Coturnix japonica: one gene and its partners. Each later gene encodes a partner of the first gene's protein in a complex. Links are inferred from orthologs where the notes say so. Each region holds a gene or a part of one and is shown in the gene's direction. Other genes may lie near its edges.

What was found.
Region 2: CRNKL1 (region 1) and RBMX2 share a complex: the UniProt entries of both Homo sapiens proteins name them as parts of the minor spliceosome. The link is inferred for Coturnix japonica from reciprocal best matches to the Homo sapiens genes CRNKL1 and RBMX2.
Region 3: CRNKL1 (region 1) and SNRNP200 share a complex: the UniProt entries of both Homo sapiens proteins name them as parts of the minor spliceosome. The link is inferred for Coturnix japonica from reciprocal best matches to the Homo sapiens genes CRNKL1 and SNRNP200.
Region 4: CRNKL1 (region 1) and spliceosome-associated protein CWC27 homolog share a complex: the UniProt entries of both Homo sapiens proteins name them as parts of the minor spliceosome. The link is inferred for Coturnix japonica from reciprocal best matches to the Homo sapiens genes CRNKL1 and CWC27.

What each region holds. Positions count from the first base shown.
Region 1 is NC_029518.1:3,888,535-3,892,680, reverse strand, and holds the start of CRNKL1 (crooked neck-like protein 1), read left to right. Parts: upstream 1-1,335; 5' UTR 1,336-1,397; coding exon 1,398-1,445; intron 1,446-2,099; coding exon 2,100-2,252; intron 2,253-3,188; coding exon 3,189-3,280; intron 3,281-3,391; coding exon 3,392-3,550; intron 3,551-3,882; coding exon 3,883-4,049; intron 4,050-4,146. Other genes in the region: CFAP61 (cilia- and flagella-associated protein 61), read right to left, coding at 846-988. UniProt on the Homo sapiens protein: Involved in pre-mRNA splicing process. As a component of the minor spliceosome, involved in the splicing of U12-type introns in pre-mRNAs.
Region 2 is NC_029519.1:1,522,333-1,526,632, reverse strand, and holds RBMX2 (RNA-binding motif protein, X-linked 2), read left to right. Parts: upstream 1-1,488; 5' UTR 1,489-1,537; coding exon 1,538-1,542; intron 1,543-1,624; coding exon 1,625-1,740; intron 1,741-1,888; coding exon 1,889-1,940; intron 1,941-2,018; coding exon 2,019-2,148; intron 2,149-2,270; coding exon 2,271-2,451; intron 2,452-2,865; coding exon 2,866-3,311; 3' UTR 3,312-3,819; downstream 3,820-4,300. Other genes in the region: RAB33A (ras-related protein Rab-33A), read left to right, coding at 955-1,410; SLC25A14 (brain mitochondrial carrier protein 1), read left to right, coding at 4,129-4,192. UniProt on the Homo sapiens protein: Involved in pre-mRNA splicing as component of the activated spliceosome. As a component of the minor spliceosome, involved in the splicing of U12-type introns in pre-mRNAs.
Region 3 is NC_029537.1:1,058,099-1,062,144, reverse strand, and holds the start of SNRNP200 (U5 small nuclear ribonucleoprotein 200 kDa helicase), read left to right. Parts: upstream 1-1,234; 5' UTR 1,235-1,323; coding exon 1,324-1,368; intron 1,369-2,449; coding exon 2,450-2,613; intron 2,614-3,476; coding exon 3,477-3,648; intron 3,649-3,767; coding exon 3,768-3,960; intron 3,961-4,046. Other genes in the region: protein FAM178B, read right to left, coding at 600-870. UniProt on the Homo sapiens protein: Catalyzes the ATP-dependent unwinding of U4/U6 RNA duplices, an essential step in the assembly of a catalytically active spliceosome. Plays a role in pre-mRNA splicing as a core component of precatalytic, catalytic and postcatalytic spliceosomal complexes.
Region 4 is NC_029547.1:21,417,254-21,421,547, forward strand, and holds the start of spliceosome-associated protein CWC27 homolog, read left to right. Parts: upstream 1-1,482; coding exon 1,483-1,524; intron 1,525-2,168; coding exon 2,169-2,265; intron 2,266-2,725; coding exon 2,726-2,838; intron 2,839-4,294. Other genes in the region: protein SREK1IP1, read right to left, coding at 69-129, 1,092-1,493. UniProt on the Homo sapiens protein: As part of the spliceosome, plays a role in pre-mRNA splicing. Probable inactive PPIase with no peptidyl-prolyl cis-trans isomerase activity. As a component of the minor spliceosome, involved in the splicing of U12-type introns in pre-mRNAs.

The sequences.
Region 1 (4,146 bases):
GCTTGTTAGAATGTCACCATCCTAATAAAAGTGCTCCAAGGGTCAGGGCTCAATCAAACTTCATTACCCACATCCTACCTTGACATTACTATTTCAATTCCAAACAATTATTTATTTGATTCTGTTATGATAATAGCTCATATGGGTTTTTCAAATCCTGAATGACTACATATTCAGTATGTGTTTCGTCTTCTTCATATTTCTCTTCACACATCTGTTTTTCCCCAGATAGTTGGTATCTGAGGTATTTGGACAAGTGGAAAAAGCCCATGTGGCCTAGTGGTATTTCACACCGTTTGTCTCTATCTGTCATTCATCACAGAAAGATGAAATGACCAACACTTTCTGCATTAACTCCAATAACAGAAGGCTTCTGCCATCAGCCACTTCTCTGAAGGATTTGCCATGGGAGCATCTAGGAGACAAGATACATAATATCTTCCATCCACCTATTGGCAGCTGGCAGGTAGGAAAGGTTCCCTTCCATTAAGGAAAAAAAAAGACAAAGATTTAGACGTACACAAGAAAAGAAAGTGGAACAACTGAGACCATACGGCGATTAAACCCCCTAATCCATGTCTCTCTAATTGCAGCACTCTGCAGTGGACAAAAAGGAATCCATTAGATGGAGCCAGGTGCTGACAGCTGGTGCAGGATCCTCCTGTTTTCACCTGATATCAGCCAAGAATGTTCCATCCTAACTTTAATAAAGATGAAGTTGTGTGAAGCCAAATCTTCTCCACTGTATGTTAAAGCTTATAATGTTTTCTGGCATCTTAAACAGAAAGGAATTCCTTGAAGTTCCCTGCAAGAACAGCAAGACCAAAAGCACTGCTATTACTTACAAAAGGTATTCTACATCAATCCTGCCATAGATGTCTTCTGTAAGATGGGTGAAGAGGCCAACAACACCAGGAGCATCGTTTGCCTCCGTCCTTCTGGTGCGGACCACCTCTTTACGTCCACTCAACGAGGTGATCGTCGTCATGTCGGGAACTGCAACTAATAAAAGAAGGGAAACATTGCTGGTCACAGAATGGCAGAATCATTAAGGATGGATAAGATAACGGCTCCAACCGGCAGCCCGTCCCCACAGCGCCTCGTCCGTGTCCCTCAGCGCCGCGCCTCCCGCCCTGACCTCCGAGCCGCAAGGGGGCGCCATTCACGGGCTAAGAGGAAAGCGCGGCGGCCGGAGGATGCGAGGGGCCTGAGGGGCTGCAGGCCGCACCGGGCACTCACCGCTCCGCTACCCGGTAACGCGGAGCGACCATACGCGGCGCTGAGCTGCCCCAAGCTCCGCACCGCCTCTACCGGGACGCAGCACCGTTACTGCGGCAACCACGGCGCTACGTGAGGTGAAAGGTTGAGGGGCGGAGCTGGAGCGGAGAGACGGCAAGATGGCGTCTACGGCGGCCGGAAAGCAGCGCATCCCCAAAGTGGCCAAGGTGTGTGGCGGTCGATGTCTGGGTGAGGCGGGGTTGTGAGGGGGTGGTGGGGAGAGGGTGGTCGGAGCGGCTGGATGCGCTTCTCTGGGCGGCTACGGGTCCTGGAGCGGCCTAGTGGGACGGAAAGTCCCCACTGAGGGCCTGGAGCGTGTCCAGAGAAGGGCAGCGGAGCTGTGAGGGGTCTGGAGCACGAGTGTGATGGGGAGCGGCTGAGGGAACCGGGGTGTGCAGTGTGGGGGAGAGGAGGATCAAGGGAGACATCATGGCTCTGTGCAGCCACCTGACAGGAGGCTGTGTGAGGTGGGGTCGGCCTCTGCCCCCAGGGAACAGCCATGGGACGAGAGGGGATGGCCTCACGTTGTGCCAGGGGAGGTTCATGTTGGCTGTTAGGAACAATTCCTTCTCCACAGAGCAGTGATGCAGTGGCACAGCTGCACAGGAGTGGTGGGGTCTCTCTTCCAACCTTAATGATTCTATGATTCTTAGTGAGCTCCCTGCTCCCCATCTGCTGGGCAGTGGCAGTGATGCCCATCCTTTCTCTCAGGGGCCTCCAAGTCATTCTTCAGCAGAAGGCCCTGGACCAAACTCTTCTTGATGGGGTTTTTTAGTTTTGCATTGGGAAGGGATAACAAACTAAGTGCCATTGATTTACAGGTGAAAAACAAAGCGCCCGCAGAAGTTCAGATCACAGCAGAGCAGCTTTTAAGAGAAGCAAAGGAGAGAGAACTTGAACTTCTTCCACCACCTCCTCAGCAGAAGATCACAGATGTTGAAGAGCTAAATGACTATAAGCTAAGGAAAAGGAAGGTAAAGGGGGAAAAATAACAAGTTTTACATTTCTATAAAGTGCTAAAATTCAATACTTTCTAATATTGAGACAAATAGTTCTTTGTGTTATTACTTGTTTAGTTTTTAGGTTAATAATTCTTAAAACAACTCTCTTTATAGAAAATGTGTTATTTTCATTCAAAAAGTAAGTTATAAAAGAGTGTTGTTTAACAGGATTTGGTAATATACATGATATCAGATCTCTGCATTCTGTGTTTGGAGCGTAGCATAGGTAATTACATGCATTTTTCTTCAATAATTTCCGTCCTGGATGAAAAGAAAGTAAAGCAAGTGTATTCTTAGCAGTGAAGTTGAAATGTTTTTGACTAGAATTACTCGTATGGATGGCAGTTACAAGCCACTGCGTGTTAACTGTGTTAAACCATGTTTGACTGTGATTTATGTATTGATAGCATTGATCCTGACAGTAGCCAAACTCAACACTGGGGATACTGTCACCATTGCACTGAACTGTGAAAGTTGCCTGGGAGATTTGAAGCCATAATATTAAATCCAGGGAATAAACATAAGGTGTCTTGCCTTAAAGAAAGCGATAGAGTGTTGCACGTACACTGATGCATCCAGATATATTCAGGATTGTGCAATGATTGGGTTCCAGCTATTGCTATTGAAACAGCTGATCAGGATGGAACAAATAATAAACAGGTAGCTTTAGTATAGTTGGTTATTATCCCATCACCATTCCAGGTATCCACTTGCAGGAACTCGAATGTAGTCCTTATCTGTGTGACAACCAACATTTCTAGCTGCTCTAAGTGTTGTATTGAATGGTCATTGTTGCTACCACATGTAACACATAATTATTCTAATAATAATAATAATCTGTAAATCGCTTATGAAAAGATTAGTCAGCACCAAGGATGTTTTAACTTACAGATATAACTTTCTCCTCAGACTTTTGAAGATAACATAAGAAAAAACAGAACTGTTATCAGTAACTGGATAAAGTACGCACAATGGGAAGAAAGCTTAAAAGAAATACAGAGGTAATCGTGTTATAGCTGTAGAACTCTTGTAAACCTTTTACGACTCAGTCTGACAAACACTGTCAGTGTTTTGGAGGCACGTTATAAACACAGCTTCTCTTTGCTTTCCAGAGCCCGTTCCATTTACGAGCGTGCTTTAGATGTGGACTACAGAAATGTCACCCTTTGGCTGAAATATGCAGAAATGGAAATGAAGAACCGCCAGGTTAATCACGCCCGAAACATTTGGGATCGAGCTATTACCACCCTGCCCAGGGTGAACCAATTCTGGTATGTCTACAGAGAATGGAGCGTTGCTTTTACCTCAGAGAGTACGGATCATTTTTATATCTCTATATAATGCAAAAGTGTATTGTATTCTCTTTCTGCAGTTCTTTAGGCTGATCCCCAAGGATGTATAAGCTTAATTTTTGAAAGGTCATGTAGTTTTGGAGTGGTAAGGCTATTAAAGAGAAGGATGTTTGTGTATGTGCTTGTTGCCAGTCACAACAGTATGTAGGAAGTGGGGAACAGGTGGTAGAAGTGCCAGTGATGCTCTTAATAAACACTTGAAAAATCCTTGTAATTTGTATGATTGTAAACACTAGATCTTGTTTCCTAAGGTACAAGTACACTTACATGGAAGAGATGCTGGGGAATGTTGCTGGATCACGTCAGGTGTTTGAACGCTGGATGGAATGGCAACCGGAGGAGCAAGCTTGGCATTCCTACATTAACTTCGAGCTGAGATACAAGGAAGTGGATAGGGCACGTACCATTTATGAAAGATATATCCTTTTTAGTGCATTGTGTCTCCTATCCAAATTTAGGCACGAACTCTTTTGTCTCTATTCTACACCGCCTCCTTTTTACTGTGATGTGCTGGG
Region 2 (4,300 bases), on another chromosome or scaffold:
AGAAGCTATATTCATGTGTCCCTAGCCTTCTTTTTGTCCCCTATAGACTTGGAAAAGCCATTCCTGGTGCCTTTAACATCTCTTGTCACATATAGTGCCAGCTGTATTTCTTTCTAAACCACCTCCCCGTGTGCTCTGACATTGTGTCTGTACTCCTCTCAAGTCACTTGTCTCACCTTCCACCTTCCCTGTACTTCCTCTTTGTACCTCTTGGTATTTTTGCTTGACTTCCTCTTTGTTCACATGGGCAGCTCAGAGGTGGAGGCACATCAGTATTGGGTAGCTTTCTTTGGTCCCATTTTCCTATAGGTCCTTGACCCACAGGACTCTTTCAGAGCCACCTCTTGGTTAATGAGTTGGCTTTACCTTCACAGCTGCCCTGCTGAAGCTGGCCCAGCGTAGCAGCTTCCCTCGCTGGCTCTTCTATCACTTGAGTTTTGAAGTTGGAATCTCACGCTTTAAGCTGTGCTGTGTTGCCCCTCCAGCATACACTGGAATGGCTGAAGGCCTCCAGAAGGGCCTAAGCCTGCAAACATGAGACTCCCATCTGTCTGCAGAGGGCACCTTCCATTTACTCTCCCTGATCAGGCTGGAGCTGCACACTGCCCTGTCTCCATGGCTCTCGGCTCTTTAATCCTTATTGTTTGCCTGGTTCCTCCCCCAGACAGAGCTCCATGCAGGAACGCCGCTCTCTTTGCCCTGCCTCCTTTGTGGATACAGAGCATCATTTCAGTGTCCTCATACAGCACAGCATTAGGTGGGTTGGTGTGTTAGTCTGTTCTGACACGAGCAGTGCTGTGTGCAGTTTGACAGGGATGATGGCTGGGTACACCAACATGGGGCAGGTAAGTCACCGGGCTGGGGCCTTTCACCCCTGTAGCACAGCAATGAGCAGAGCAGCAGCACAGCATCCTGCAGCAGCAATGGCTGCTCACGCCGTGTTGTGCCCCATAGGTGCAGGTGTGGGACACGGCCGGGCAGGAGCGGTTCCGGAAGAGCATGGTGGAGCACTACTACCGCAACGTGCACGCCGTGGTCTTCGTGTACGACGTCACCAAGATGGCGTCCTTCACCAACCTCAAGATGTGGATCGAGGAGTGCAACGTTCACGCCGTGTCCCCCCTGGTCCCCAAAGTGCTGGTGGGGAACAAGTGTGACTTGAAGGACCTGATCCAGGTGCCGTCCGGCATGGCTCTCAAATTCGCCGACGCTCACAACATGCTGTTGTTCGAAACCTCGGCCAAGGACCCTAAAGAGAGCCAGAACGTGGAGTCCATCTTCATGTGCCTGGCCTGCCGGCTCAAGGCGCAGAAGTCGCTGCTCTATCGCGACATGGAGAAGCGGCCGGGCCGGGCGCAGAAGCTAGAGCCGTCACGTGACGCCCACGGTAAAAGCGCGTGTCCGTGCTGAGCGCCGACCAATAAAGCTGTGCGGAGCCCTCGGACTCGTTGCTTTGCTTGGCGCGCATGCGCGGCCGGGGCGGGGGCGGAGGCGGGGGGGTAAGGGGGGCGCATGCGCAGTGCGCGCCGCCGCCGCCATGAAGTAGGTTTGGATGGGGGCTGGGTGAGGGGGGGGTGTGCGACCGGCCGGTGCTAACGGTGCTAACGGAGTGCATCGCCCCCAGCCCGCTGACCAAAGTGAAGCTGATCAACGAGCTGAACGCGCGGGAGGCGGAGCTGGGCGTGAGCGAGGCGGTGTCGTGGCACGCCGAGTACAAGGACAGCGCGTGGGTCTTCATCGGTACGTGTAGGCCGCGATGGGGGGACGGGGAGGGAGGAGAGAGCAGGGCTGTGGTAGGCCCTGTGCTGGGCTCCGTGCTGGGCTCCATGCTGGGCTCCGTGCTGGGCTCCGTGCTGGGCCTCCATCGCTGCCCTGTCTCCCCCCGCAGGCGGGCTGCCCTACCAGCTGACAGAGGGGGACGTCATCTGTGTGTTCTCGCAGTAAGTTCCTACCTGCTCCATCCCCATCTTGCTGTGCCCCTCCAGCCCTGCTCTGTGGCTGCTGATGGTGTGTTCCAGGTACGGGGAGGTGGTGAACATTAATCTGGTGCGGGATAAGAAGACTGGGAAGTCCAAAGGGTTTTGCTTTTTGTGCTATGAGGATCAGAGGAGCACCGTGCTTGCTGTTGATAACTTCAATGGGATCAAGGTGAGTGATGGAGCTGTGTGGCTGCAGCAGCTCCTGGAGCGCTCAGAGCACATCAGAGAGAAGCTCCATCGGCTGCTGGCCCCACAGCACACGCTTTGCTGACTACCTGACTCCTGTCCTAGATCAAAGGCAGGACGATCCGAGTGGACCACGTGGCCAACTACCGGACTCCCAAGGACTCCGATGATTTAGATGATGTCACAAAAGCCCTCCATGCAAAGGGCTGCGGAGTGAAAACACCACCTCATACGTCGTCAGATTCCTCCTTGGAGGATGAAGACACGCCAGCCCAAAAGCAAAAAGGTGAAATGCATTTCTGCCCATCTTTGCCCTGGGTGGGAGGATCTGTGTGGGCTACAGGGACTCTTAGCTCAGCGTACAGCAGGGATAGGGATCCTCTTGAAAACAGATGCAACCCGAATGTCCAGGCTTATCCTCTGTGATCTGCGTCACACTGCCAGTATTTATCTATGATCATTCACCCCCTGCCTCTGGAGATCCTTATTTTGCAGGTTATAGTGGCACTCTTCCTGGAGAAAAGGAGTTGGGCTGGGCTGCAGGGATGTTGCAAGGGGGAGGGGGCAGGACAGTGGGGGACAGGGAGAAGAAAGGCTCCAATAAAGCCTTTCTCTACAGAGCTCTGGTGCTCTGTAGCAGAACTGGTGGGGATGATGCTTGCAGGACTGTCCATCTCTAAGGATGACCTTTTTGTTTCAGATAAAGAGAAGAATAAACATGAACGGCAAAAGCAGAGCTCTCAGGCTGCAAAGAGAGCAGCACCTGCCGAAGAGGCACATCCGAGAATCAAGATTAAAAAGGAGAAGGAAGATCCTGGCTACGAGCGATATGCTGCTGGTGGGGGTCAGCAGTCCTGCAGTGAGTCTGAGAGGAAACACGTGAGCAGGACGCAGCGAGATGAGGAAGAGCAGAGACACCAAAGGTCGTCGGGGAGGAGAGGGGAAAAGAGCTCCCAGGAACACAGAGGGCAGAACAGCTCACGGGAAGAGAGAGGAGAGGTCAGCAGGAAGGGTGAGGGACACAGCAGCTGGCGAGAAGAGTGTTCTGAGGGAAGCAGATCCAGGCACCGGCGGGAGAGCAGCAGCAGAGAGCCCCATTCCAAGCACAGGGAGCGTGGATCCACCAGAGATTCCAGCCGTCACTGAGCCCTGGAGTGAGCACCTTCTGGGCCACAGCTGTGCTCTGTGAGCTGCACCGGGAGCCTGTCTGAAGCCTCCTGCTATGGCCCTAAGGGTACCACAGCTGTGTCTCGTCTCACACACACCACTCTGACCGGTTCACTCCTCAGACAGGTTGCTCTCAGTGCTGTGGGCTGTGATGTGGGCTCTGCTGCTGCCTTGCTCGGCCCTTCTGTGCAGTGGCATCACTCAGACGGTTGTGGAGGGGCTCACGGCACAGTGTGGGCAGTGGGGTGCTGAGCAGCAGGATACGGACACCGAAACTGCCCACGTTGTTCAGGGGGAGCGTCCCTGTCTGCAGTGGGGCGGTGGGTGCTTGCAGGCGGGCACGGTGCTTTGTGCCCCCAGCCCGTCCTGCTTCCTTTGTTTATGTGATGGATATCAGAGGCTGCTGAGCCATCGCAGTTCATGGCGTTTTTTGTTTTAAACTCCTTTTAATAAAAATCGATCCTTTAACCAGAGGAGATGACTGGGAGCACTGCTTGTGTCCGGTTGTGCTGTTTGGACTGAGCATTGATGGCAGCTGACACAGAAATGGGGAGCGCACAGCAGTGGATCTGAGCTGCGCTTTGCTCTCGGGGTGGTTCCGGTCGGTCCCGTGCCTGCAGCGCTCTCCCGTCTCCTCCCCGCCGTTCTCGGGCGGTGCCGCTGGATCCCAATTGCGGGCCGAGCTGCCGGGTCCGCCCGGCTGGGGGGCGCAGTGCTTCCCGTTCCGCCGCGCTTCCGGTTCCGGGTGGAGTTGAGGCAGTGTCCGGCCCGGCGCGGCGGCGCGCCCCGCCATGCCATGTCCGCGCTGAACTGGAAACCCTTCGTGTACGGCGGGCTCGCCTCCATCGTGGCCGAGTTCGGTGAGCTGCGGCGGGTACCGGCGGGTACCGGCGGGTATCGGCGGGTACCGGCGGGTACCGGCGGGTATCGGCGGGTATCGGCGGGTACCGGCGGGTACCGGCGGGTAT
Region 3 (4,046 bases), on another chromosome or scaffold:
ATGGGGATGCAATGGGGATCAGTGGGGGACTCTATAGGGGCTCTGGGGATGCAATTGGGGGCTCCATAGGGCTCTGGGGATGCAATGGGGATCAGTGGGGGGCCCTGGGGATGCAATGGGGGGCTCTATGGGGGCTCTGGGGATAGAAAGAGGATCAGTGGGGGACTCTATAGGGACTCTGGGTATACAATGGGGATCAATGGGGGACTCCATAGGGCACTGTGGATGCAATGGGGGGCTCTATAGGGCCCTGGGGATGCAATGGGGGACTCTATAGGGGCTCTGGGGATGCAATGGGGACCAGTGGGGGGCACTGGGGATGCAATGGGGGACTCTATAGGGGCTCTGAGGATTCAATAGGGATCAGTGGGGGACTCTATAGGGGCAGTGGGGATCAATAGGGATCAATGGGATCAATAGGGATCAATAGGGATCAATAGGGATCAATGGGGAGCAATAGGGATCAATGGGGGACTCTATAGGGGCTCTGAGGATTCAATAGGGATCAGTGGGGGCTCTATAGGACCCTGGCTATACAAGGGGATCATTGTGTTGCTCTATGTGGGGCCAAACATGGTCCCCCCCCCGTCCTCTCTCACCTGTCCGTGCTCCGCCCTGAGGCCTCATTGGGGGCGGTGAGGCCGGAGGCCGCGGATCCACTGGGCCGAGCGGCGGCGGGAGGAAGGGGCGGCCTACCCGGAGGTGTTTACTGACACGGAGCTGCTGGTAGGAACACAGGCTGTACTGGAAGGACGAGCTGAAGAGCCCCGAGCGGGGCACACGGGCCGAGGACAGCGGGATTTGGTACCAGCGGAGCAGCCCCGCCCGCTGACCTCGTCGCGCCGACGTCCCGCGCAACATGGCGGCCATGGGCGGGCGGGGTGAGAGAAAAGGGCGGGCTCTCCTCAGAAAGGCGGCGCTACCAAGTGCGGCTACTAACGGCGGGATTGGCCGTTTAACTGCCGACAGGAGCCCGGCAGCCAATCGCGGCTCGAGGGTTCGACCAATCAGCGCGCGCGCTGAACGGGATTGGTTAAAGAAGAGAAGTGTCCCGCCCACCTGTGCTCTCAGCCAATCAGAAGGGGTGGAGAGTGTCCCCGCCCCCCACCTCCCGCGGTGCATGCTGGGAGCTGCAGTCAACGGGCCTCTGCCGCGGTGCATGCTGGGAGCTGCAGTCAACGGGCCCCTGCCGTGGTGCATGCTGGGAGGCCTTGTGCGGAACCTCTTCCGGGATCGGGCTGTTTCCGCTTCCGTTGTTTCCGCTTCCGCCGGAAGTTCAGCTCCAGGGCCTGTTCCCGTGCACGGCGGTGGCGGGGCGGCAACATGGCGGACGTGACCGCTCGCAGCCTGCAGTACGAGTACAAGGCGGTGAGTGCCGGCTCGGGGCCTGTGCGCGGTGGGGATGCCGGCCTCATTCCTCCGGGCCTTCCCCGTCTAACGGGGGCCAATATGGCGGATCTCGTATAGTGAGGCCTTGTCGGGCCTTGTGTGGCCTGTGGTGATTTAAACCGGGCCTGTTTGAAGCCGGGGGCTTTAAGAGATGGTTGGAGGTGCGGCCTGCGTCCCTTATGGGCGGTGGGGGCTGCTGGATATAGGGCTGTGGGGAGGATAATAGGGGCTATGGGAGGATATAGGGCTGTGGGGTGGGGGTAATAGGGGCTGTAAGAAGGATATAGGGCTGTGGGGAGGATATAGGGGCTGTAGGATGCTTATAGGGCTGTAGGATGCTTATAGGGCTGTAGGATGCTTATAGGGCTGTGGAGGGATATAGGGCTGTGGGGAGAATACTGGGGTATGGGAAGGGTAATAAGGGCTGTGGGGAGGGTATTGGGCTGTAGGAAGAAAAATAAGGACTGTGGGAGGATATAGGGCTGTAGGAAGGATATTGGGGTATAGGAAGGGTAATAAGGGTTATGGGAGGAATGTAGGGCTGTGAGAAGGATGTTGGGCTGTGGGGAGGGATATAGGGCTGTGGGGTGGATATTGGGGTATGGGAAGGGTAATAGGGGCTGTGGGGAGGATATAGGGGCTGTAGGATGGCTATAGGGCTGTGGGGGGGTAATAAGGGCCGTGGGGAGGATATAGGGCTGTGGAAGGATATAGGGCTGTGGGGGGGAAAATAAGGGTTGTAGGATGGATATAGGGCTGTGGGGGGGTGATAAAGGCTGTGGGGAGGGTATTGGGGTATGGGAAGGATAATAAGGGCTGTGGGGATGATATAGGACTGTAGGAAGGATATAGGGCTGTGGGGAGGATAATAAGGGCTGTGGGAGGATATAGGGCTGTGGGAGGGATATTGGGCTGTGGGGAAGGTAATAAGGGTTCTAGGAAAGATATAGGGCTGTGGGGAGGATAATAGGGGCTGTGGGAGGGATATAGGGCTGTGTAATAAGGCTGTAGGAACATAAAGGCTCCACCTGATGCATTGTGACCCCCATCCCCCCCCCAGAACTCCAACCTCGTGCTCCAAGCTGACCGTTCTCTCATTGACCGGACGCGACGCGATGAACCCACGGGTGAAGTGTTGTCCCTGGTGGGTAAATTGGAAGGGACGCGGATGGGAGACAAGGCGCAGCGCACCAAGCCACAGATGCAGGAGGAGCGACGGGCCAAGTGAGAGCTGAGCGGGGCCTGGGGGTGGGAGGGGGCTCTGAGGGGGCTGTGGGGCTTCAGTGGTTATAAGCAATGTGGAATCACACAGTGATGGAGGTTGGGAAAGAGCTGTGAGGTGATGGATCCCAATTGGTGCATACACCACTGAGTGGTGGCATTGAGTGGTGGTATCGTGTTGGTGTATGGTCAGATACCAACATATATGGTTGTTATATGTGGTTGAGTTGTGGGTCCTCAGAGCCCCCCCAGGTTCATCTCCTGCCCTGGTGCCCCCCTCCAGCTTATACCCAACACAACTTCAGTCGCCTTTGGCACCTCCAGGGTTGGGGCACCCACAGCTCCTCTGTTCCACCACCCTCATAGTGAAGAAGGTGACCCTAAATCTCCCCTCTTTTACCCCAAAGCCGTTCCCATATCCATCAGCCCATCCCCAAGCACCACATACACACACCTTTTGATCCTTCAGCATCCTTCACAGCTTTCCCAATGTAGAAATACTTCCCCTCGACCAAAACTTCCCCAATTCAACCCAGGGCTGGGGTCTCTTGTGATGCTGTGGGATAAAAGATCAACCCCCCCTCACTGCTGTGTCCTCCTTTGAGGCAGATATGGAGTTTCTCCTTTTCTCTCCAGGCTAAATAACCCCATTCCCTAAGCTGCTCATTGTAAACTGGCTCCAGACCCTTTGCAGCTTCATTCTCTCTCCTTGTCGGGAAGCGAAAAGTGAAAGGAAAAGGGCTAAAAAGGAGGAAAAACGGGGCAGAGTTTACCTTTATTTTTAACAAAGGGAAGGCCCACGCTTTGCTGTCCAGCATTACTGGGATTCCCTGCTTTGAGCTGCTATGGGTGCTCTCTGTTTGCAGGAGGAGGAAGCGCGATGAGGACAGACACGACATCAACAAGATGAAGGGTTACACTCTGCTGTCCGAGGGCATCGACGAGATGGTGGGGATCATCTACAAGCCTAAAACCAAAGAGACACGGGAGACCTACGAGGTGTTGCTGAGCTTCATCCAGGCTGCCCTCGGGGACCAGGTGAGGAGCTGGATGTGTGTGATGGGGGCACATCCATATCACAAGGGGGATAATATCTGTGCCATAATATCTGCCCCTATGGTGATCTCCTGCTTATGTGGCTGCTGGTTGTTCCCCAGCCACGAGACATTCTGTGTGGAGCTGCTGATGAAGTGCTGGCAGTGCTGAAGAACGAGAAGCTGCGTGATAAGGAGAGACGTAAAGAGATCGATCTGCTGCTGGGCCAGACTGACGACACCCGTTATCACGTGCTGGTGAACCTGGGCAAGAAGATCACGGATTATGGTGGTGACAAGGAGATCCAGAACATGGGTATGGACAGATTATGGTGACAAGAAGATTTAGAACATGGGTATGGGCACAGATTGTGATAGTGACAATGAGATTCAGATCATGGG
Region 4 (4,294 bases), on another chromosome or scaffold:
ATAGTTCCATCATCATAAATTGAGGGGGAAAAAAAACCAAAACAACACTGTAGTCTCATATTGCTTACTATATAGACTTACGGTAGCCACATTTCTTGCATCCTGCTCTGATGTTATCCTTATTTGCACCTGAAACAGAAAATTTCATCAATCACTTGTTACTAAACATAAGTCTTAAAAGTTCCCTTTAAATCTGGCTTAGTAACTCTTCTGGATTTAGGCAAAGTTGCTCTTTGTGCCTACGCCCTCAGTTAAGAAGATCAGCAAGATCTAACTCACAAGACAAAGCCTGGAGACCTGTTGCCCACAAAAGGATTGCTGAGTCAATTCATAATTCTAAGCAAAACAGCATTTCCAAAATCAAAGGGTATCTTTCTATCCAGTATGAAAAATATGGAAAATTAAACAGTTGTATACACAGCTTTCCATAAAACTAGTTCCTTTATTTAAATAATCAACCTAACATAAGAAGAAAACTATGAAATTAGGGAACCAGAAAGGGGGTACATCAGCATCACGAGTTTAAATTTTGATTTATTAAGAGAAGTACCATCTTTAGTAAATCCTACTAAAAGAACCAGAGGAGCCTTGAAGTCCCATGGTTTGCTGTTGAACTCACAGCAAGGTTCAAGCTTACTCAATTTTCTCCAGTCAAACCCATACCTCAGGATGACACAGGCTGAATACCTGGTGAAATACACAATTTCTGCCCGCGCTGGCTGCACCACTGCTCTTAAACCCTTCATTTAAACAACCTAGCTGCAGGCAGGCGCTAATCTGGGGCACAAGGAGAAAAAAAACATGCGGAACGATGCCATTCTTGGGACCCCTAAGGAAGGCAGCGTACACCTGCAGAAGGCAGGAGCGCAGCCGTGGGCCTCAGCACCCACAAAACTACAGGCGAGGGCCGCATACGGAGCGCAGGAGGGCTGCTGGAGCCCCCAGCCCCGCCGTACCATTGCAGCTCTGCAGGCTGGGAAACGCACCGCAAGCCGCTCCTCGGGCCCCACCACCTCACGAACAGCGCTGCCGACCCTCCCCCTCCGCACGCCTCCCAGCCATCCGCCCCGCAGCCCCGCGGCTCTCCTCACCCGGCAGAGCCATGGCGTCCTCCACACAGCCGGGCCCAGGAACAACGCAGCGCCTGTCCCCGCCGGAAGGATTTGGCCGGAGCACTCTCGGGCCGCGCCACTCGCGGGGAGGACGGGGTGCTCAGTACCGAGCCGGGGCGACGAGAAGCGAGCGGAGGTGTCTGGAAAAGCCTTCACATCCTTTCGGAAAGAATTCACTGAGTGATTCCCCCATCGGAGGAGCAATTCTTTCTCCCACAGCTCTGAGCAGTCACACCTTCCCCCCGCCACATTGTACTGTGTAGAGGCGCCCAAGATGGCGGCGGGCTGCGGGCAGTAGCGCGGGTAGAGAGGCAGTGTTGTTAGCGTTGGGCTCGGGCGGTGCGTTCCGCCACGACACCCCTTCCTCAGCATGAGCAACATCTACATCCAGGAGCCCCCCACCAACGGCAAGGTGAGGATCCTGCGGGCAGCGAGGGCGAGGGGCACGAGTCCGGTGTTATCGCTCTCGGACGCTTATGTTTACCGCTTTGATAGGAATTCGCATTTATTGATCTGTATTGATGTCTCTTGTAATAAGAGCGTGCCGCTAGAGGTTTAAGGCATATTCCTTTTCTGTGTTGTCTCACTGTGGAAATACTAAGAGTATTTAATATTCTACCCTCCGTTAGTTGTCATCCCCCACCAGCTCAGGCTGCCCAGCGCCCCATCCAGCATGGCCTTGACTCCTCCAGGGATGGAGCACCCACTGCTTCTCTGGGCAGTGCCTCACCACCCTCTGAGTAAATAACTTTTGCCACTCAGCCAATCTAAATCTTCTCTCTTCCACTTTAAAACCATCCGCCCTTGTCCTGTCACTAACTACGCATGTAAAAAATTGGTTTCCTTCTTGTTTATATCCTTACTTTAAATACTGGAAGGCTGTAGTGAGGTCTCCCAGGAGCCTTCTCCAGAACAAGTCCGACTCCTGCTTACTACTTATCTACGGCTGTTGTTAATGTTATGAATTTAGGAGTGTTTTTTAACTTAGTAGTAATATTTGTTTATTAGTGTCTAAGTTGCAATAAAACTAATGGTTTGTTTATAAAAATTTTGCAGGTCTTGCTGAGAACTACAGCAGGAGATATCGATATAGAATTGTGGTCAAAAGAAGCACCAAAAGCATGTCGAAATTTTATCCAGCTTTGTATGGAAGGTAATGGCAAAATGGGGTAGGACTTGTTAGAATTATTTCATGTGCAATATTGGTATTTTGGTGACAGTTATGGAAAAGGTAGGTCATAAGTAAGTTTTAATATGTTAACTAATTATTTATATTATCTGCTATCCAGACCAAGAACGTTTTTTTAAAGTCATTAAGGAAACCAATGGATGTGAAAAGTACAATTTTTTGGTGGTTTTCTTAGATGTAGGAGTTGTCACATGTTTAGGAAGGCTTGTCTTCAGGAAGTTTATACAAAGTATTGCAGCTTTAATGAACGTAGAAAATGTCAGTGATGCTGTGTTTGGACTTCTCCTGTTAAGGTCATTCCTGTATCATGTGCTTACTGCATGTTCATTTCTTCATGAGTCACTGATATGTCTGCATAATCTCTATTGAGGTGTGATTTTAGATAACTTAAATGTATTTAATGTATTTTCTCTTTCTTTTTTAGAGTATTACAATAATACAATATTTCACAGAGTTGTGCCAGGTTTTATAGTGCAGGGAGGTGATCCCACTGGTACTGGGTCAGGTGGAGATTCAATCTATGGAGCTCCCTTCAAGGTATGTAGCTGTATATCTTGTGCATGTTGATGTTTGCTTAGTCTCTGGCAGTTGTCCTTGCTACTGTGTGTGAATTTTTTGAGTAAACAAATTTTGTATAAGGAATGCAGTTTATTCTATATTTTATGCTAAAGTTCATTCATATTCTAAATTTGCACATGCTTCAATATTTTTGAATGTGCATTTTAGAATTGAGTGTTCTTAAATCTGTCTGTTTCAGTTCTGTGATAAACGTATAACCCTATTAATGTTCACTTCAACAAGATAAAACTAGGAGAGAAAACTGTTCAGAGCAAGTGTTTTAACTTCATAAAGTTAAACAAGAACAAGTGCAGTGTCCTGCTCCTATATCGGGACAATCCTAAGCACAAGTACAGGCTGAGCAGAGAATGGATTGAGAGCAGCTGTGAGGGGTGCTGGTTGATGAGAAACTCAGTGTGAGCCCACAGTGGGAAATGCAGCCCAGAAGGCTGACTGTATCCTGGGCTTCACTGAAAGGGGGACATGGCTGTCCTCTGCTCTGCCCTCATGAGGCCCCATCTAAACTATTTCATGCAGGTCTAGAGTCTCCAGCACAAGAAGGAACATAGGAAGCAGGCCCAGAGGATGCCACAAAGGTGATCAGAGGGCAGGAGCACATCTGTGAAGAATGGTTAAGGGAGCTGGACTTGTTCAGCTTGGAGAAGAGAGGAGTCTGCAGAGGCCATACAATGGTCTTCCAGTACCTAAAGGGGACCTACAGGAAAGCTGAAGAAGGACTCTTTGTCAGGGAGTGATAAAAGATAGGGGTATTTTGTACAGTAGATTTAAGTTAGACATTAGGAAGAAATTCTTAACTCAGAAAGTGATAAGGCAATGAACAGATGGCCTGCAAAAGCTATGGATGCGTCATCCCTGTGAGTGCTTAAGGCCAGGCTGGATGGGGCTTTGGATAACCCAGTCTAGTGAGAGGTAACCCTGCCCATGACAGGGGGTTGGAACTGGGTGATATATAAGGTCCCAAAGCATTCTATGGATTTGTGTGTCAAACTGAGGAGCAGAAATGTGAGTTATGTACATTTTACCTGAACTGGCAAAGGTCTGTAAATGTAGTCACTAGTATTACTGATAGTAGCACATCTCATCTCTTGGTCAGGGTCTTCAGATTCTGAGTGAGGTTACACATGCACAGTAGCTGTGCTCTAGTTCTGGTTCAGAATTTCAGATAGGGTAAACATCTTTAGCTGGCGACTGAACCTGTGTGACCTTTCTGGGCCTTCAGTCCAACAGCTGTAATTGTAATGCAAATCTGAAGTTTGTGGGAGGGATCGCTGCCTGAGAAAACATCAAAACAAATGTTTCTAATACTGTAGTAACAACACTTCTTTAATTTGGTATTATTGTTAAGTGTGAAAGCACTTAGGAGTTTTATACTACTGTGGTATTAATGCATTACTTATCAATATCATCTTCATTT